Linked DNA regions of Alligator mississippiensis. The protein of the gene in region 1 purifies or fractionates together with the protein of each later gene. This does not show direct contact. Links are inferred from orthologs where the notes say so. Each region holds a gene or a part of one and is shown in the gene's direction. Other genes may lie near its edges.

Region 1 (10,896 bases):
AAGGGTGGGAGGAGACAGGAGTGCGACAAGTTAGAGTTATATGGGGGTGGGTGGGGTGGAGAAGAGATCATGTTTGGAAAATATGGGTGGATGAATTTATACTTCTCCAAAGCCTAAAATGGAATCCTTGTGTCAGCAAATATCTACAAATGATTGACAAAAAGTACCATCATATTCTAGTGGTGGCTCACATACAAGATGACAACCTATTGGTATCATTTGCTCTGTGGGCTCAAAGGATAGGGGCTTGTGCAGTAGTTCAAAAAGTTCCATCCCATTGATTACTCAGATGGATAGCAATGGAATATCACAGGATGGAATTTCTGAGATATACTCAGTTCCCTTTCTTAAATAGAAATTACACAACACAATGACAACCCCCCCCCCCCAGCCATATTGAGATTGTTCTTTTAATACAGTTAAAATAAACATCTCAAATGGTAATATATTCAAACATGATAAGAACAGAGCTTGTACGTGAGGCACTCAAAAGTTAGGAAATAAAGAATGAAGGTTACAGGGGCAGGCTTATTCAGCCTTGTTTGGCATGTGTGTTATAGTACAGTCTTTTAATACTAGTTTATTTATTATTTTTTCCACTAAACCTGTCCTAACTGCACAGGATGGGTCTGCTCTGCAGAGGAATCAGGGTTATGTAGTGAAAGAGACTGTTCCTTTTAGAACCCTGGTTTCATTTATTGCATATGTTACAAGATGAGCACTAACAACTGCAGTAGAATTCAATGGGAGCCGTGCTTTGAACATTACTTAGTGTTATACAGCACTGTTGTCTCAAAAATCAGATCCTCAGCAGCTCAAACTGGGCACCCAGAGTTTTATTGTTACTTTTGACCTTACTCTCTCTGTGCTTCCCAATCTGCATTTTCTTTCCTGCCCCCATCTCACCTCATAGGGGTATTGTGAAAAGCAGTGCATTAATATTTGTAAAGTGCTCGGATACTATTGTGCTAAGTGCCATAAAGAGCCTATAAGGAATTAATAATTGTGTGTTGGGAGCAGGATTTGAATAGTGTCCATTAAACAAGCCAATACCAAACCAAAGGTAAACAAATTATTGAATAACATTATCCCATATGTGTAATGAGTTCTAGGGGCCTGTGGAAAAAACTAGTGCATGATAACTTAATTTAAGGCTGCATCATGATGATTATGCACAAGGGGGCTGACATTTCCTACACGCAGGAAATACGCATTTCCTAACGCTTGAGTGCTTGACCTTGCAACACTGATAATGTTCTTCTAACCTCATTTTGTAATATAAAGGGAAAAAAAACTGAAGTGCAAGTTTTATATAAGTAATATTATTTAATAACTTCCACATTGATTCTTGGTTGATTGATTGGTACTGGATAGATGGATGGACAGAAATTTTGATGATAATTTCAAATTCAAATTATGCAGCAGTCACTGATACTAAAGCCCCTAGTATCAACTATTTTACTGAAGCCATAGTAATAGTGTTCAAAGAAATGATCTGTGAGCGGTAGGAAATGCACCTTGACATTCCCATACAACGTTAAGCAAAATTGTATTAATTAACATAGATTTTTCTCTATAGTATGGACCCCTATCCTTAAGTAGAAGGTAGAGAAATGTGAAATTTTAGAAAAGGATTATAAATGAAGAAAAACAAAGAATTTGAGCTTAACAGAACAACTAACTCTGATTTACAAATCCAAACCAAGCCCCTGTACACAAAATTCCAATGGAAATGATAACTCTTGTGGACTATTTCCCAAGGTATTAAGATACTTGATTAGGCATTAACTCTATTTATTTTAAATAATTAATAGTTTCACAAGGATTAAAATCTCCAGAATAATTTCCCTACTGATTTACAATAACCAAAATGTTTTAGCAGTGGACAGGCATGTCTTTCACTTCACTTTGCTAGCTTTTGAACAAACATTTATTGTGACCAGTACATACAGCTCTGAGTTCCTTTTGTTTCACTTAAAAATCAATCTAGAGTAGTTATAACTGGGTTCCTTTCTTTTTTTTCCCTTCCTTCCACACTGGTCTCCTTTCACTACTACAGTACCTGTGAGCCAATGAGCATTTGATAATGTTTGGTGACCTCTTGTAATATTAGTTCAGTCTTAGAAACTTTGATGTTCTGCAACTTGGCATATGAAGACCCAAAGAGAATTCCTTTGCTTGCTTTTTGACAGAATGCAGAGTACTTCAAGACAACCTGAAAGCAGTGGGTTTTTTTAGGTTATCAAAAGTGGCAGCATCCGGATCATAAAAAAGAACAAACTGTTCAAATAGTCTTCCCTTTCAATGTTTCTCTGTACTGTGTGCTGGTGGAAGATCTTTGGTGATAACAATAGTCAGGATGAGCCAAGTGTTCCACATGCATTAAAGTTTCCACATTCCTAACATAGTTAGATGTCTTTTCCAAACAATTTACATGATTCTGAAAAGTCACCAGCTAGACCTGGTAATATGAGCATTTGAACGTTATTTTTCTTTTCCTTTCACTCTATGCTGAATCTTGGGTGGAGAACTGAGCCATAGCCCAGAAATGGACTTATACCAGTGTGAGGGTGCCCCTACCTTGTCACTAGAATGAGAAGAGGAGCCAGGGGTACCTGCCCCCTTTCCCTTCCTTCACCCCCGCCCCCTTTGCCTCTCTTACATTTTGTGTGTTTGCCAGTGCATCCTGTCTCTGGTAGAGGTCCATCCCCCCTCGTTTCCTGGTTATGTAGTTCTGACTTCTCTCCCCACTTCTCTCTTCCTTCCCATTTCATCTCTCTCTTCTGCCTGTGCTCCAGCGGTAATGCCACATGCAAATTCACAGGCAGAGAAGCCTAAAGTAAGATGGTCACTGGGTCCAGGTGCAGGCAGAGCTTGATGACACAGGAAGAGAAAGTAGGGGGTCATGTGACCTAGGGAGCCCTATATAAACCCAAGTCTCAAGTCAAGGTAGGCAGTCTGACTGTGGGAGTCATTGAGGATGCAGCTTGTTCTGTGATGAATAAGGACTTGAGTCCAGACTCTGGTGAGAGGATGCAGGTGGTAGCCCCAAGTGAAGGGAAGCTGGGCAGTTGCATGGGAAGCAAGCTAAGTACCCCAGGCACTCTTTGTTTTGTTTTCCTTTCTATTTGGAGCCTGTCCCCAAGGGGTGTAGCAAACCCCATGTGGGATGTTCCTTTGAACTGGGACTGGTGCTTGCATTTTGTGACTTGCATTTTCCCCAGAGGGCTGAGTTGTGGCTTTAGGGGAAGCCACTGAAAGGGGGTGACTGGGGACACCTCAGACTTGAAACTGTACTGAATGGACAGAGGATAAAGACTAGAGAGTATTCTGTGGCCCTTTGGAAGCTGAGCTTGCCTTACAGGACTCTAAGGCAGGAGGTGGCAGGGAAAAAACAGGACTTAAGGCTCCTAGCTGCCTATGTGGCGATATTGCGGGTGCTGAGACCTAAGGTTATGGGACATGACTGGTGTGGAGCCAGGAGCTTGTAGCCCTGAACAACGGGCCCCAAGCTGGAAGGCTCTGCAACAGTAAAATGGGATGAGACCAGGGGGGAGCCTTGGACCAGACAGGGCTCACCTCTTCAGAAGCATGCCTTGCCCTCTGTGTGCAGCTTCCTCTACTAATTGTTGAGATAAATGTATGGTAGGTGAGACTACTGAATAGGAGAGAGAGCAGACAGTATAGATGCTAATATAGGCTTTTAGAGGTGGGTACCCTGTAGCAGCACTCATAAGCTACCTACAATCAGTGTGTGTGTGTGTGTGTGTATTATTTATTTATTTATTTATTTATTTATTTATTTATTTTTTTATCTGTATATTCTACCACCACTGTCTTGGACATTGCTGATGTACTTAACACCTGCATTCAGTCACTGCTCAAAATTACCCACTCTCCAAAAGACTAATGGAAGCAAGGCCTGTGCTTCACTTTAACTCCTTCAAATATACATTTACATTAGACCTAAGAGGCATATCAAACTTCTAAATTATAGATGGGCAACTAGAGCCAAGTTGTACTACATAGTGCTTCAGATAAACACCAGTAACTTAATTTCAGGTATTGCACAAGATTGGGATTAGAATGTGGCACAGGTAGACTTCATGTGAACAACAAAATAATTCTTCCTGCTCTTCCCCCCTTCCCCCCCCTTTAATTTCATCTCCTTGGGACTTGCTGTTTGTTAACAGCCATGCAAATAATTTTTTAATAGCCATGTTCAAATATCAGTATTTCAATGCAAACAATTTTTTTTCTTCTGTGAGCAAGAATATCTGTTATAGTTTGCTATTCATTAATCTCCTGATTTTAAAAGTTTGTCATCCACTAGGAATCCAATACAGTATTGTGGGATGTAGGTAACCCATCACAACTAGAATGAGTTAAGAGCTGATGGGAACTATTCATTTAAAAAATACACAGGCTGCAAGATATTTTTCCAAACTATTCAATGAATCCTTATGAATAAAAAATATTTGCAAGAACCTGGGCCTCTCTGCAAATGCTTCCAAGCAGCAAAGAGCTACATTCCTTATTTAATTTATGAATGATAAATATTCAGTTCCAGTTGTGCAACCTAGGAATGAAGGCAAAAAATGTACAATGAAGTTTGAATTCATACTTACTCATGCTTAAGAGTATATGCTAGCCCTGGCCACTAATGGGATACAACTTTGTTTTTAAAAAAGCTATAATAGCAGCACTTGCCACATTGGGGTGTTGTGAGACTATTAATTTTCAGCACCTTGAGGTCTACACATGATGCCTCTGTATATCTATATACAAATGGATAACGATGTCTTGGACTAATTGTCCAAGTTAACAGAGCAAGATCCCACTTTAACACCACTATCTGGGGTATATGGGCACAGAGAGGTAAACCCAGCTAAGCAAAATATGGGGACAGAGTGGACAGGAGAGGTAGTAAATAATTATTACCTTTTATATACTGAATTGTATGGATAATTTTGCTGCTGGTATAAACCCACAAGGAGGAATAACAGGAAGAACTTCACTGAAAGGTATCCTTCCCAGGGGTAATCCATCAATGATGTATTTTAAGAACCATCCTTTGCCTGTGACTGTGCCTAAAGTAAAAAATTTAATCCCAGCTGTTGCACAGTTTCTGTTCTGATCTCTGTAGCAAGGTCACATTCAAGGTTTTCTTCCTTAAAATAGAGATTCAACATCTTTATTTTGTTTCTTATATGGCTCTGAATTTTCTACCAGTTCTCCCTTGAATTGATTTGCTGTGATAGTGTGTTAGTACTAAGATCAATGATCAGTTTTAAATCTCTAGATGCTGCCATAATTTGGTTCCAAAGAGCAAAAAAATAAAACCAACCCAACTAATGGCAGCAGGTTGATAGTGACATTTTATTTAGTTCTGAATTCCCCTGTCAGATAAGGCGCAGAGACTACATGCCTAAAGCACACTTGTTCAGCTTACAATATTATTGGTGGGTATTTTATGCCTTTTTTAAAAACTGAGAGCGAGGAGTTCATTAAAGGATACATGCTATACCCACACAACCACTTGCTATGTCTATCTATTCTTACCGCTCGACACAGAGTAGAAGTCACTCCGGTGTAGAAGTCTGCATTGAGGTCAGGTGCAATTCACCAGTGAGCAGACGGCCACCTTGTCTCCCCCTTAGGTGAGTTTCATGTTTTATGCTCCAACACTTGAACTTCCTTCCTCTCATCAGTCCTGGGCACAGACTGGCTAGATTTACCTAGTGTTTCTGTAACCTACCTCTGGTAAGATGCAGGCAAGACCTCTGATGGCAGGTACTATCTGCAGCTAACGGGGCCTTGAATGAAGCATTCAAAGCCCCGAGTCTTCCCTCGCTTAGGCTGATTGAGTGCTGGGGTTGAAGATTCGACTCCTATTTGACCTTCCCTACTGAAGCAGGCTTTGATGTGGTGCTGCCTCTTTCATGTCACAGCAGATCTCAACTTCCAAATTGTTGAGCCACTGTCTGGTATTACTGCTCAGTGTGCAGCTTCCATCTGGGAAGATTGTAAGGACTGCAGCTTTCCATCAAGTGCTGTTTGCCGGACACCCCATCACACAGAGGGCTGCCCAAGATGTTCATCTTGTACAGTGTTGTTTTAAAGCATCCATCTCCGGATTTCAGTCTGTTCAGCTGGATCCACACTTCTCTGTCAAGATGGTGCCCAGTCTCTGGTGCTGGTATAAAACACCCAGCAGCTGGCCCACTCCAGTGCTGCCCACAGATTTGGTTTGGCACCCACAACCTCTTCCAGGAGCTCGCACACTTCATATAGCTATGACTTCTTGAAGCCTTTTGGGTCTTCTGTGAACAGTGATGGAGCAGGTGATTTTCATCATGTCTCACTTTTATTGTCAGTCATGATGGGGTCTGCATTCACACTTGGTGTGATGCCCAGCGTCTGTGTAGGTTATGCAGTCCTTTTTTTTTTATTTGGATACTCTGCATAGGGGATGACTTTCTCTGCACCTGCCCTCCGCCCACCTGAGAGCACTGGGGCCGGAGAGAGCGGGGGATGTCTGGACCTGGGAGCAGAGCGAGCCTGAGGCTGAGGGGGGCTAAGGCAGCGTGGCGGGGAGGAAGGTTTCTGGAGGGCGGCGCTAGGACCCCACTCCCCGTGGGGCACGGACTGGCCCGGGCGGCACGTCCGCGGAGCTCCCCTAGAGGGCGGGCGCAGCCGGTCGCCGGCTCGGCTCCCGCTCCATAAAAGGGTTGGGGGCGGAGCCGGCTCCTCGCGGGCGCTCGCGATTGGAGGCGGCGGCTTATAAAAGCGGCCGGCGCCGCGGAACAAAGCAGTGGGTCGGAGCGCGGCGGCGCGGGCTGGAGGGAGCAGGTTTGGGGCAGAGCCGAGCCGGGGATAAGGACGCAGCTCGCTCGGGCTCTCCCTCGCTCGGCTCCCCCCGCCTCCTCCCTGCCCCTGGCGCGGGCGGGCTGCCTGCTTTCTGCCGGACGGGGACGCAAGGCGACACCCATGAAGGAGAGAAGAGCGAGCCAGAAACTCTCGAGCAAGGCGGTCATGGATCCGAACCAGAACGTGAAGTGCAAGATCGTGGTGGTCGGCGACAGCCAGTGCGGCAAGACCGCCCTGCTCCACGTCTTCGCCAAGGACTGCTTCCCCGAGGTACGTCCCGGCCCGGGGCGCGCTGCCCGTCCTCTGCCCCAGCCGGCGCGCAGGGGTGCCGGGAGGCTGCCGGGCTCTTAGCCGGACCTGCTGCTGCTGCTGTGTCCAGCTCCTTACCGCCGGTAACCACCTCTCTCTCCTCTTTCCCTCTCTCTGTTCCTCAGAACTACGTCCCGACCGTCTTTGAGAATTACACGGCCAGCTTTGAGATCGACACGCAAAGGATAGAGCTGAGTCTGTGGGACACTTCGGGTAAGAGCTGTGCACCGTGGCCCGCGGGGGCTTGTGTTCCCTCCGGGTCCTGTTCAGGACTTGCGTGGAGCTATTTCTGTCTAAGATCAGGGATTGCGGCCGCCCCGCCGCACCAGGAGCTTTTACTGAATCACTTATATCCTCTTACTGAATCACTTGTATCCTTCCAGCGGAGATCGCAGGTGCTCCCTAATGTAAAAGTCACCTGTGATTAGGAGGTGACATTGTTTTAACGTGCCCCTATTTCATTTAGTTTCTCTTTCTCCTCTCTCTCTTTCTTTCTCTCCCTCCCCCTTTTCCCTTCTAAAAGTTCTTGTGGAGAGTAGCTCAGCAGATGGGAGGCTATTACTATTGCATATTGTGAGCCTTTCATCTTAATATTTGTCATCGCTGCTGTGAAAGCCAGCGTGGGCTCTCCTTAGGTAAAACATGATTATACAGAAACAAGCAGATTAATGCTCCTACGGACACTTGAGCTGGTTAGGGGCGTCTGCCTCTCTGACCTGACTTTCTTGCTTACTAAGGGCTCAGTCCCATAAACCCCCGTGCATGCACATTTGGTTATCCCTTGGGCAAGCCCAGGCAAGTCTGACTTCAGTGAGACTACTTGAGTGAGTAAAGGGACCTAGGTGCATAACTGTTAACAGCCCAGTGCTGTAAAATGGCAAAAAAGAAGGCTTTCACAACACTATAAGAAGTACTTGGTGAAGAAGGTAATGTAAGAACAGGAAATCTATGGTATGTATGATGCCCAAATTGAAGTGGGTGCAGCCAGAGTTACAAATGCAGGGGCTGCAAATGGTCCTGTTCCAGGTCATTTCCCAACTCCTCAGCCTGAAATTGATGCACTTGCCCCTCACTGAACTTTTTTCTTTTAACTCTTGGTTTCCCCACTCTCCCACCATGTACAGACTGATCGACACTGGCCATTCCCTTTCTTTGCCCCTCTCTCTCTCTCCCTGGCCAGCCTGCACAGAGGAAACCTTGCCTACAGCTTACTTTCTTCCATCTCCACTGCAGGGGTGTTGAGGGCAGGGCTGCAAGTTGGTGCCAGTGTTTTCCTGTGGATTCCAGTCCTGTCCCTGAGATGGGGCACATGAAGCTGCAACAAGTGGATACCACTGGGGGTGGGGGGAGGCTTTTTGGAGGAAACAATTTTTTGTGGGAGGGAGAGGCCTTGGCAGAAAAAAGTCAAACTGGAGACTATGGAAAAGGACAGCCTTCTAGAGGCAGGAGATGCTGTACACAACACTCTTCCTAAGGGACCAGCTTGAGGAAATCGGAGAACAAGGGGACAGACCCTGCATGAAAGGGACATGTGTTTTGAAAGACAAAGTAGTAGTATGAAAATGAGTGACTTCATAGCATGATTTCCCTAGTACTTGTGAGGAAGTGCACTGTACAGAGAGCTCCTGTAGGACTTCTGCAAAGGGAAAGCGGAGTTCCTGAGGTAGGGAAAAATCTTGGAGGGCAGGAGGTAGAATGGGAAGGGCCCAAGCTTTAGAAGGGAGAACAAAGAAATGTGGAGTGCACACCTTGCTGGGAGGAAGACAAGAGTGTAGAGAGCATCAGAAGGCAATAAAGACGACTGAACGTGGCAGTTCGCATGCAGCGAGACAACAGAATGTGGAAAGGGAACAGACCACCCAGTGTGTGAGGGGAACACTCAAGTCTGAGCAGGAAATGGAGCCCCCGTAGGGCAGGGGAATCTGAGGAAACAATTCCATATTGCTTTCCACTTCATAGCATGGGGAACAAAGCTTCATTCTAGCATAGGCCTTGCCTAGCTTTATCAGAAGCAGATGAAAAACCATGTAGTCCAGTCATTTTTTGGCTCTGCAGTAATTTTCCCAGGATCCTAGAGACTGTTCATAAGAGCATTAAGTGCCAAAGCTAGTGGCTGTTTGTATTGGTGCATAAGACTAGAATCGTGAAGGGAGTTGGGAAGATAAATCATTGTCTGATGAGCCATTGTTATCTTGTGAAGCAGCAGGCCATATGGGATTCTTGATGCAATCCACTGTAACTAGATAGGAACTAAAAATTCCCAAGTGCCCTGATGACCCTGAAAAACACATTATTTCTATTAGCACAACTAGAGTGTTTTGTTTCCAGATGTGAATGGCAGCTGTCCTGGACCAGCAGCTGCATCTGGTTTTAATTCTCTTATCTACAGAGGGATATTTTACTTAGCCATTTACTCTATGTGAAGTGATGAAGGGTGGAGATGAAACCCCCATTTAATAAGGAGATTGTGTATATTACAGTGGAAGGAGAAAAGGCATGACTTCAGGAGGAAAACTCAGCATATGGCTTGTCATGAGAGAGAGGGTCATCTCTAAGAGGCCTGTATGCTGATGTCAGGGCTACATGGCCATCATCCTGGCTGTGCAACTCCAACTCCTGTGAAACACCAAGGAGAAATAGATAAATTGCATCTACATGGGTGTTAATAGTAGATGAAGCCAGCTGATGAACATTCCTCTTGGAGTGCCTTACAGAAGGTTCTCTTTTACATCAAACTGTTGTCCAAATGCAGGACTTCCCTGGCTCTGAAAGGTGCTAGAGCATTAACAGGTAGAGCTCTAATGGTGAGCTGCCACTGACCTCAAGAGGTGGCAGAGGGAATAATCTCTCCTCTCAGCTCTAAGTACTGCAACCAGAAAAGCTGCCACTTCTTCCACCCTCACCCAATCCCTCCCACTCCTGTTTCAGGAAAAAAAAAACCAACTTGGATGCCTGGTGGTGGATCCAATTTCAAAGGCCAATTGAAATGTTAGCTAATGGTCAGTGATTCAGATCCACAATGTGGTGGTGGTGATTTGAGGGGGGGCCTGGATTCTCAAGCTACCAGCAAAGCAGGTCAGTCTCACTTTTTAGATCAGCCACTTCCCAACATTTATGCCCTACTGTACCTGTTTATCAGACTGAGAACTCGGCTCTGTGCTGGACTTGATTCAACCATATTCAGTATCGTTCTTCATGTCACTTAGAAGCTGTGGAGAGAGACTGGAACTGGGAACAGCCCACAATCTGTTGCCAATTTGAGATGAGCTGAATGAGAGGTAGTCATATAATCCAAGAGTGGGAGAGTTGAAGTGGCAGTATCAGTAGCTGTTGGAGCATGAGTGTCTGGAAACCAAGGCATTAAACTGATCCCTAACAAGAAAGCTGAACAGCCTCTCTGCTCCTCCATTTTCTTGCTTGGTTGATATCTTATGCTGATGCTGATCTTGATGAACACAGTTGTTTCTCCACGGGGGAGATGTGGGGGAGGGTGTTGATTTGGATACCAAAGGTAAATTTAGGAAGATTATTTTGTTAAAAACATGGGAAGCTTTTAGATGCTGATTTTTGGTTTTCCTTATTGTGGCTGATTAGCAGTAAATGATCTCAAATTATTGGAATGCTATGACAAAGCAGGTAGCTTCATCACCCAGGCTAAATAGTAGCGTGTTTTCAAAAAGCAAAATAGCTTCTCAAACTTCCAAAGTGTAAATTAGC
Region 2 (10,725 bases), on another chromosome or scaffold:
ATAAGGTCAGGCAGAAGTGTTCTGCACCCACCTTCCAGTGGGGCACAGCCATTTGGGTCTCCACTCTCTGTTCATGTTTTCTCTACTAAACTCACTCAATCTGTAGTTTCATGGCTCACCCCCAGTTGGCACTTCCAGCCTTCTGAGACTCTGGATTGTGGTTGGTTGGTTCTCTTTGAAATGCAGCTGTTCTCCCGTCACTTGTTTTACTGGCTGTGAGTCTAGCAGGCTGACTGTCGTGGCTGGTCTGGTGTACAGGGTGAGGGAAACGGTCCCGTTCACCCCTGCTCCAGTACCAAACAGCAGTCCAGGCTGGCCTTCTTATGTTGTATATCCATTGTAAAGACAGAGATCCAGGTGTGAATACTTCATTTCTGCTCCTGGAGGACTCAGTTTCTCAGACAGCATTCAAGGCAGAAGAAAAGCTAGATGCCGGTCACCTATCTGCAGTGGATATGCCCCAGCCCCCCAACGCACGCACATGCACCATCATGCAGGGTGTTTCTTTTTCCTGTGCATAGGGTCTTATGCTAATCAGTACAGGTTTGGTTCTGTCCTTCTGGGCCTGGGCTTACCTTAGAGTGCTGGTGTTGTCTGTCAATCTGAGGCAAGATTGAATTTGTATCAAAGAAACTCCAGACAAAGCCGAGAGGACTGGCCTGAATAACCAATGAGCAGAGAATATGAAGCTGAAAGAAAAGCTTGTGTAATCTGCACAGAAGAATGCAGGCACAGAGGCTTTGGATCTTCTCCGTGGCAGAGTCAGTTTATGGAAAATGTGGTTTGATGTAGACAAGCCTACCACAATAAGTCTGGGGCAACAAACCAGAAACAAAGTGCACTCTCAATGGAGTGGCTGTGCAGCAGCATAGCTTCCCAGGGAGGGGATATGAAGGTGGTTATAAAAGAATGCTCCGAAACAGCCAGGCTGCAGCATGGTGGAAATGCAACAGATATATTGCGGGAAGTGTAAGGGAGGGACTGCAAATGGGAGGAAGAGGCAGGCAAAGAGCAGTGGCAAACTGCGGGGCTGGTTGGAACAGCATCTTCCCAAGGGGCCATTCCTTGGAAGCATACTGGCCACATCAAGTCCAGAGCCTACCCTGTCTGGGGCATCTTCTTCCTCCACTGCTTTCTGCCCGCCTCCCTTGGAACCTGACTCATTCTCCGCCGTGCTCTCTGCCTTTATCTCAGCAGGACATTGGGTCACTGTGTTAAAACTGCCAGAGCGTGTGGGCTTGCCAGAGTACAGGCAGGTTGCAGTACTCTGAACTGGGGGCACCCTGAGGAATGAGAACTGAAGGTCATAGCCAACAGAGATGGGAGAGGTCACAGGCAAAAGTGCAAAGAGTGACAGAGAAGCCTTCGGGGAGGGACAGGGCTACTGTGTCAGAGTAGTTTACCTGACAGTGTTTGGCACTCACTGGGTGTATGGTATTCCATGCCACCTTTTTACAGGGAAGTGACTGGTTGTCTGCATCTGTGACAGAGCATTCTGGAGGAGCCCTTGTCTGGAAGGATCTGACAGGCAGAGCTGAGAAACTTGGGAAAGGAAATGATTTCCTCATTGAGTCTGACCTTTCTGTGTCCTTTCTCCTCACCAACTTGTTGGTTCTTGCATTAAACTGTTATTAGTCTGTGATCAGGCTGTTGGGGCCTGGCCTGGTGATGCTAAGTGCATATGGTTCACAATCTAGCACAGCAAAGCACTGCATGTTAGGGAGATGGTGTGTAGAGGTGAAGTCAAAAAAGGTGAGCAGGTCCTGCCGCTGCCTTGTCCTGTTCTTTTGGTTTCTTTGTCAGAGCCCCCTCCCCCCCCCGCTGGAGGTAAATGAACCCTGCTCCTGCCCCTGGCCCAGAGCAGTGTTATGTTCCCCAATGCCAACCCTGGGTGCAAAGTGAGCATCTTGCACTGGCACAGAGGCCAGGTCCCAGTGCTGGCCGCCCAATGGGAAAAGCAGAGGGGGTCAAGATGTCACCTTGGCAGGAAGTGCTGCAGAAGCCCTGAGCACTTGAGCTCCTTGTGTGCTGGGCTGGGAGCAGAGGGCTCTGTGCCAATGTCATGAGAGCACATAGCTAGAGCTCAAAGGCCCTCGGGAAAGTTGGCCCCCCTTTTTTTTCCCAGAAACATTTTTCTTTTGCTTGCCTTTCACGCTGATGACCCTCAGAGGAAAGACCCGGACATTGGCATGGAGTCTGCCAAGCTGGTAGCTTGCCAGAAGCTGGAGGCTTGTGCCTGATTTACATATATATGCATAATTGTCTTGAGTGCGCACAGCCACATTTGGTGCCTTGTTGGCTGGGTAGACCTTTGTCTGATCAACCTTTGTGCTTGTCCCGCAGCCCTTCAAAGGGAATGACCCAGGGGCTGGGTTCTTTATGTCCTGGGTTAGGTGCATCTCTTCAGCCCCAGCCCATGCTTGCAGGACTTAGGTACTGTGGTGAATGGCTGACAGGCCCTTGCATTGTGTTCCCTGGGGAAGAGCATATTTGGGACTCTGGGGGATCCAAGGAGGTTGTGAAGGGCTGTGCTGCAAATCTGATCACTTAGTGGAAGAGCTGTGAGCAGCTGCTCCATGGTGACTGCAGGTTTCTGTGGTGAGGGCCTGAGTTTCCTGACTACGCAGTTGTTCTCACTGTAGCCAGTCCCTCTGTCTGTGGTCTTCCTTGTTGAGGGGACAGAGAAGCTGGTGAGAAGGGGGAAAGAGGAGAGCAGGGTGGAGCCATGGGAGAAGTTTAGTAAAGGAGGGTTCCATCCCTTGGCACCCTGCAAGCTCCCTTCTGTCCCCCCAGCCTGTGGGAGGGGAAGAGTTTGCCTATCTCAAGCTGTAGACATTTGTGCTTTTAAGCTCTTGAGTTCTCCAGTTGACTATTGCACATAGACAAGCTGGCAGCTGCCACACAGTCCCACTCCAGACACGTGTGGCAACCTGTGATTCATAAACCAACTGTTCTCTTCCGTACTCACATTCTCACAGTGGCACCCAGCTCTCTGTGCCTGGAGCATTCACACTGCATTTGCACTTTCCTGACAGCCACTTGCCCCAAAAGCACATGGACCAGGAAGCAGTCAGACCTTGGTTGGTCAGTCCCTTCTTGTTGCCCTCAGAATTTCCTATGGCCGGTGGCTATTCCAAACCTGGCAGGTTTGGCTGCCATTGGGTGGACCTCACTACAACTCCTTATTAAATAATAGGATGGTATAAATTCTGGTCAAGTAGGAGGTGGCTACCGGAAGCCTGAATGCCTCCCACAGCCGAAATGTGGTTGCTTATGGCCTGGGTCTGAGTCTCCTTAGCTCTTTCCTACCCTTGTGAGACTTGCCCTCATTCAGTTGTGCCTCCTGGTCGCAGGCTGACTCCAGGCAGGAGAGAAGCAGCAGAATGAGCCAGCTGCAAACCTGTCTCCATCTGCGTCCTCTGCCCCAGAACAATACTTCCCCATAGTGCTTTGCGGTCTCCCATATCATCTGATTCTGAACAATTGAAAAGAAAGTGTCAATGAATCTTGCATAACTAGGGAGAGATGACAGGTGTAGGTTGTAGCCGTGTTGGTCTAAGGACACAGGCAGACAAGGTTCTTTGGGTGAATCTGATATCTTTTATTAGACCAACTTAAATAGTTGGAAAACAATTATTAAGCAAGCTTTCGGGTTCAAAAACCCTTCGTTAGGCTAAGGAAGTTTCTGCAGTTGGTGCATGCTCTTCCTGGATGGAATGGAAAGTAAAGAAGCCAGAGGCTGGTCGGGTATGCATACAAGACAGGTAGTCAGTGAAAATGCAGATCGAGGAGTCAATGGGTGAGAGACAGGCTGGGGGGGAGAGAAGGGGGATGAATAATGGAGAGAGACCTGGGGAGTCAGATGTCAGGCAGGTTATAATGTGTCATAAATCCAATGTCTATATTTAGTCTATGATTTTTAGTATCCAGGAGGTGGTTGAAGTGGAGTTCATAGGCTTGTCTCTGGGAACCAGAGCACATACCAGAGCACGTACCAACTGCAGAAACTTCCTTAGCCTGATGAAGGGTTTTTGAACCCGAAAGCTTGCTTAATAATTGTTTTCCAACTATTTAAGTTGGTCTAATAAAAGATATCAGATTCACCCAAAGAACCTTGTCTGCCAGGGAGAGATGCACATTTGCAGTGCAGCTGCTGTGGGTGTATCCTGAATTGCTCTGGGGTTCTGTGGCCAGCAAATGGTTTATCTGAAAGGGCAGGCCGAAGTGCTCAGCCAAGCCAAAAGGCGTCCTGAAGCTGGTAACCCAGAGGGACCAGGCGCTTTCAGTATGCAAGGGAGGGATGTAAGTGGCATTGCCTCCTGTTGCCTTTGGTCCTGCAGACTGAATAACCAGGTGCCCATTTGCGTCCGGGTCAGCCTTTGGCAGGAATCCAAAGTGGGGCTTGAACTCTTGCTTGTGGAGTCACAGCAAGAATGAAACAATCCAGCCCCATCATGGGCAGGATCTGTCTGCTGGGTGGTTGGGGTTTCTTGGGGCTGTAGAGGACTGTGAATTGTGCTGTCATCCCCAACCCTGTTCCATCACCAAACTCCCTAGAAGCTTTTTGCAGACTGCTTCTGAAATTGCTTGTCAAGAAAATCTGTGGAGAGGGCCTGGCCCACGGAGCTAGCTATGCACCTAGCCGGGTTTTAGACCCTGCACAAACCTTTTCCAATTGCTCATACTGAAGGGGGAAATTCCATTGTGTGAGCCAGGGTGAGCTGGAACAGAACTTTACCGCAGTCTTAAAACTTGAATCGCAACCAGGTGTCTGAACAGAGAGTGGAAATTGGGAGCATTAGTGATGTTTGCTGGTGCCTGGAGCATGTAGTTTAACTGTTGTGTTGCCAGGGTCTCCATGCTGGCAGACACTTGCTAACCAATGTAGTGTTCCCGACACCGTGGCTTGAGCACCAAGGTGAAACACTCTGGTTTGTCAAGTCTGCTATAGGGTATTTATCGAGGCATGGCTTCATGCTGTCATGAATCCTACCAGTGCCATGGGTGGTTGTGACTTCAGCATTGTCAGATTTTCATTTGTGATCCCTGTGATTGAGCTCTAATCCCTGTTCAGAGAACTGGGCAAATGCTGGGGTGAGTTGGTATCAAGCCCCATGCTGGTGTGGTTGCACCCAGATTGGCCCAGGCACTCTGCACAAGATGCCTTAATTGCAGCATTCCCAAGTGCTAATCCTTGGCTCAGGATAGGGCTGATCTCTGGGGTGGGGATAGTTGGTGTTTCCTAGATGAGCCAGATGGGGAGTGATGGCTGGAGCTCCTTATTCACTGTTCAGGGACTGAGCTCTCTTGTCCCATCTGGAGAACAGCATGGCTAGGACTCTTCCCTTCTCCAGCATGGTCTCTCCTGTCTTTCACACAGCTGCAGCCTGCAGTCCACCCACCTGACACTGACCCCTCTTTCTCCAGGGCTGGAAATGGTCAGTGACTTTTCTTAATGGTAGCAAAATGCGTGTCAAAACAGGCACTGTCCATACCTCATGCTGGCTGTTGCAGTTAACACTGGGTTTGCACTGTGAACTTCCTTCCTGGGGAAAAGGTGCAGGAGTAGGGGATGGGGAGACATTCTTCTTTTGGGAGGTTATTGTGCAGGCAGAATGGCTGAACTGCCCTATTCTTCCCAGTGGCCAGAATAATCACATACGCGTCCTGTCCCCTCAGCTGATTTTCTGTCTGAGATGGTGGAAAGTGAAATGTGTGCAATGTCTGTAGGAGTCTGAAGAAAGCCCCTTTGTCTGCCCCTTTGAGCATCGCCCAGGCTCAAGCAGCACCCTCCACCACTCCAGGACTCCCGCGCCTCAGGATGAATGCAGTGCTTGTCCAGAAACCGGGACCTGTTCTGTGCAGCTGAGTTCCAGTCTTCTTCTGCTAGTCCCACAGATGGTATTGCTGTGGAAACATGCTGCGGGCACCCTTTCAAGCAGCAAAGAGCCATAACCCTCTTCTGGTTGTTGGGCAAACAAGGAAGAGACCCGAACCTCTTCAACATGTTTCTGTACTGGAAGAAGCGGGGCGCATATGAGCTGGAAGCTCTCCCGACATCTCTGACAGAGCTGGAATATGGGGCAGTGGAACGCTTCTCCTGGAGCTCCACCTTGGATATTATTGAGGACCTTGGGGGTAGGTTGGCTTTGCTGTGGGGATGGGAAGGTTGCTCCGTGGGCAATGGCTGAGGTTGCCCAACTAGCATGCACATGCTGTTCCTGCTGCTGAGAGCCAGCTGGCAAAGAAGCAACCAGCTTTTCCTTCATAGACATTTTGTGGGGGGCTCTGCCCCAGCCCTAGATGGGTGACCTACATTGCACTCAGCAGGTGTGAGAATGCAGGTCTGGCTTGCCAACCTGCTGTTAGCTCTCTGCAGCTCTAGGCTTGCTCCCATGTGGGGAGGGTAAGGGCAGGTTACAGATGAATGCTGGGATGGAGCATGGAGTCACTTGCCTCTAGTGCTAGGAGAAAGCTCTCCCAGGAGGTATGGATATATATGACAGCTCCCAGCACCTGGTTTCTGTTAATCGAAAACCAATTGCTGGGGCCTCCCTTGCCCATAGTGCTTGCTGCCTGCTGTCTGAATGTTTAGTTTCAGTCCAGATAGGCACCGAATTCTGGGGGTGTTTTGTGAGGTGGGTAAAGATAGTGATGAATGCACCTTCCTGTCTGGGCAGTGTGAGGGGCAGGACTTGGTGCCCTGCCACCACTTTGCTTCCCTGTGTCACCTGCATAGTAGGAGCATGACTTAGCTGGCAGCACTTGGGTGTTCAGAGGGCTGATGCTAAGGGCGGGCAGCCTGTCTACCTGGCTTAGCATCTGACATCCACCTCAGCCCACAGGGTGTGGGCAATGAGTGGCTCATGGTCTGAGCTGTGCAGGTCTGCCTTGCTCTGGGGTGAAGACTGAGAGAACTCTCCCACCAAGTCTGGAATTGGGGGCTTTCCAGGTAGACCCTGAACCAACCAGGCATGGTAGCAGGAGGGCAGCATATGTTTTCCCTAGAGTCTAGAGGTTTTCCGCTCGGCACTTTTGGACTTTGCTCTTAGCATAGAAATAAAGGAAAGATCTGGCTTTTGGGTGGGGTTTGGGATGAAGCTCCTGTCCCAGCCTGCATCTGATCCTCAGATTGGGTTTGGGTTTGTGCATTTTCATAAAGCCTATCCCCATTGCAACAGAAAGTCCTGGGTCCCCCTGAGGCCAGGCCATAACTGATTGCCAGGATGAGGCCAGCAGGGCTCCATCCCTCTTCTCCTACCTGCAGGGCAGAGCTGTGCTAATGCAGGCCTGGCGTCCCGGGTTTGGCCAAGGGCTGCCTGTCCCTTCTCTGTCTGAGTTTTCAGTATGTTTAAAAAACTTCCTCTTGCCTGCATGAAAGAATTTCTGATTTGTGCCCATTATTATTCATAATAGGTCAACTGCAATGATAATTCCAGCAGGCCAGCCAATAGGGCTGCTGTTACTAAGCCACCAGACACCATGGCGATGCAGCCTCGGACAGAGTGGTTATTGTGTTCTCCAGGGACTGGTTTCAGCATGTGGGCAGCAAAGCTTCACAGCAGGCACATTACTCCCATCCCTATCCGATAAAGTCATGAGTCTGGCCCCGCTCACCCTGGGGCTTATCACTAGCAGGAGCCTGTTCCCCAGAGCTGTGGGCCTCTCCTCTCCTGGCCCTTGTGCTACCCATGGGATCCTGTCCCCACTCTTGTGGTATACATGTCCCTGGCTGCTTCCAGGGGCTGTGGCTGCATGGCAGTGCATTCCACTGTGGCAGGGGAGTGCAGATGGAGCCACCCTGGCATCTGACCTGGGGAGGGGTGAGGGGCAGCTTTGAAGCAGCCCATCATGTGGAGGAGCTACAAGGGACAGAGACTAACCTGGCTTGAGCATGTGCAGTCTTAGGGGGCTGAAGAGGGCTGATATCATAGGCCTGGGGGGTTGTGGTGGGGGTTGTGGTGGCTGCTGGGGTCAGCTTTCATGACGTAGAGGCTGGGGTCAGCTCACACAAACTCTAATTGAGCTGTTGATACAGGGGAGAAGGGAATATGCCTCAGGTCGCTCCTTGCAATCTGGTCTCAGATGTGCTGAAGCTCAGCTCAGCTTGGTGTAGCCTCTCCTCCACATACCAGCATACAGCCCTCTGGCCTCCAACTGTCTGCTGCAAGGTCTCCCCAGAACAGCCTTCCTCTAAGCCCTATGCTGCTGCAACTGAGAGACTGGAGGCTTCAGCCCACCCTCTCAACTGGCTGTCACCAAAGGATGTGTGGCAGAAAATGGCCTGTTGCCCATCTGCATGCACACACTAGTACCTGCTATGGCCTGGTTGGCCACATCTCTGCAGCAAGCAGGTGAAATGCTCCTCTGGTTTCTGCAAGGCTCAATGCTGCTAGTTTCTGTTGGCCCAGAGAATAAGCTGATTATCTCTAGCCTGACCAGCACATTGCTGTGTGTGTCTGCTGCTGGGAGCCAGCACATCTTGTCTGGATTCTGCAGAAGGAGGCATGAGCAACTGGTTTCTCCCAAGTCTGGGGGGGGGTGGAACTCGCAGAAGGTGGTGGCAGCAGCGGCAACCCTGTAAGGGGGGGCATGTGCCCCCTGTGCTCTCCTACCAGTCATCTATGGAAGGAGGGTTTATTCTCCCAGCAGGAACAGTGTTAACTGCTCTGTCTGTGTTTGTGCGTTCCCCCCTGTCAGTCTGTGGGGATCCCAGTGGGAAGAAGCTTCTGCAAAGGCATGTGCAGGTTGAGGAAAGGGACCAGGGGTCAGATTGTTCCCTTCCAGAAGACAAAGCTCAAGTAGTTCCTGCTCTGGCCCTCAAAATCAAATGGTATGGACATGTTTGTTCCTTGATACAAGGAAGCTCCTCAGCTTTGGGATCACAGCCTGCTGCTCTGGACTCAAAAGCAAAAGACAAATTTGTGCTTTTGAGGCAAAAAAAAAAAAAAAAAAAGAAAGGGCTAAGGCCCCAAGCATGCCAAGCATGTGCTTCATATACCTGAATGCCCTCAGTGTCCCATGGCCGCTTCCTGCTGAGCAGTGGTATTGCTAACTGTGCCACTGAGCTGCTCTCCTACTCACTAGGCATGCATGTGCACTATCCTGCAGGCCCTTGGCATTTGATATGAAGGCAGACCCATGTCCAGCCCCAAGAAGCATACAATGTACAAATAAGCCAGGGAGAGAGGCAGCCTGCTGACAGCTGACCCAATGGATGACACAGAGCTGCTGAATTGGGTGTTAGAAATAGGAAAAGAAAGAGGAGAAACCACCTCTGGCAACACGGAAGTGGTGACTCATGGATGCTGCATGGAGGCAGAAACCAGCCCAGTTCTGGGAGACATCTGGTCTCTGGCCCATCATGGCAAACCCTGACAGGTGACTGCAGGCCATGAGTGAGGCATTTTGGCCCACCCCTACAACACCACTTCTTACAAAGGAGCATTTGCTGCAGAATGTGGTGCTCGTTCCTGAGATGGAAGCTCCTAGTTTCCATGGCATTGCTCCCTCACTTGGCAGGGACTACGGCCTGTGTCTCGGGCTCTCTCAGTGGCCTGGGAAGAGTCAGTTCTCTCCAGTGTGTACCACAGTGTCCTGAAAATGGAAATCCATCCCCCTGTCTCCTCACTGCCCTTGGTGGCTCAGTCCTATACCAGCCCAATGACAGTTCTACTTGGATTCTCGAGCAGCACTCGGGTGTTGGAGGAGATATGAGATTTTTTTGGGCCAAGAGCAAGGAGCACTGAATTGCTGGGGCTGGGAACTCCTCCCCGTTGCCTTAGCTGGACTCTGGTCTCCACTGATTCTGCTGAGGGGCCTGAGGCTTTGGGGGACTGAATTCAGGCAGTCCAAGAGAACACTGTGTGTGGCTAAATATGTTTTGTTACTAGTTCCTAGGATGTCCGTCTCTTCTAAGCACCACAAATACCCCAAAATATTAATGTGATGGGAGGTGGAGGGGCTGCCAGCCAGTCGCTGGAAGGAATAAGCACGCTTCATTCAGATTAAATGAAGGAGCAATTAAATCGTAGCAGAAACTCCAGGGTCACCTTGAGGCCAAGTCTTGCCTGATTGCCAGAAGGAGGCTGGCAGGTCCTTTTTGTGGTGAGAGCTGAAGCAAGGTACAGGCCAGCATAGTGAGTACCAAGCAGTAAGTAGCCAAGCGGTGAGAGCTGAGGTGTTTCTCTGGTACTAGTCAGCGGATGCAGGAGTGGGGGCATCATTTGGTTTGCATGTATGTACCCTTGCCTGTGCCAGAGACAGGTGACAAGAGCAAGCAGAGAGCCAGAGAAGCAGTGGTGAGCATGGCTCTAGGAATAAGCCGGGACTCAGAGCTGCTTGTGGTCACAGGTCTGGCTGGAAAGGCAGCCTTGGCTGTCTGGGCAAGGAGACTGCTTGCTGTGTTCAGGATTTGGTGCAAATAAATGACAGTACCCAGAATTGTCTGACTCATGGGAGAAGTCCAGCAAGGCCTTAGGCATTGGTGAGCTGCATGAGCCTTTAAGAAGTGTTGATGGTCTAAGAGTCTTCATCAGTCTGAATAAAGGAGGCACTTTTCAGTGAATCCTGCTCTTAGCCAAGGCTGTCCCTTGCTTCTCCCACAGGATTCAGCCTGTGAGCAGCAGCTGAAGCCTTGGGAATCTGGGCAGGTGGCTGCATGTAGGACTCCATGAGGATGGATGGGAAGGATTTCTGTGCAGAGGCTGGGGTACATGTTTCCTT

What was found.
Region 2: the proteins of RND3 (region 1) and PLEKHG5 purify together in Homo sapiens (affinity purification with western blotting; 3 studies listed by BioGRID and IntAct, with this or other methods). This does not show direct contact. The link is inferred for Alligator mississippiensis from reciprocal best matches to the Homo sapiens genes RND3 and PLEKHG5.

What each region holds. Positions count from the first base shown.
Region 1 is NC_081827.1:227,768,758-227,779,653, forward strand, and holds the start of RND3 (rho-related GTP-binding protein RhoE), read left to right. Parts: upstream 1-6,800; 5' UTR 6,801-6,990; coding exon 6,991-7,140; intron 7,141-7,304; coding exon 7,305-7,392; intron 7,393-10,896. UniProt on the Homo sapiens protein: Binds GTP but lacks intrinsic GTPase activity and is resistant to Rho-specific GTPase-activating proteins.
Region 2 is NC_081836.1:18,548,246-18,558,970, reverse strand, and holds the start of PLEKHG5 (pleckstrin homology domain-containing family G member 5), read left to right. Parts: upstream 1-5,926; 5' UTR 5,927-6,005; coding exon 6,006-6,138; intron 6,139-10,725. UniProt on the Homo sapiens protein: Functions as a guanine exchange factor (GEF) for RAB26 and thus regulates autophagy of synaptic vesicles in axon terminal of motoneurons. Involved in the control of neuronal cell differentiation.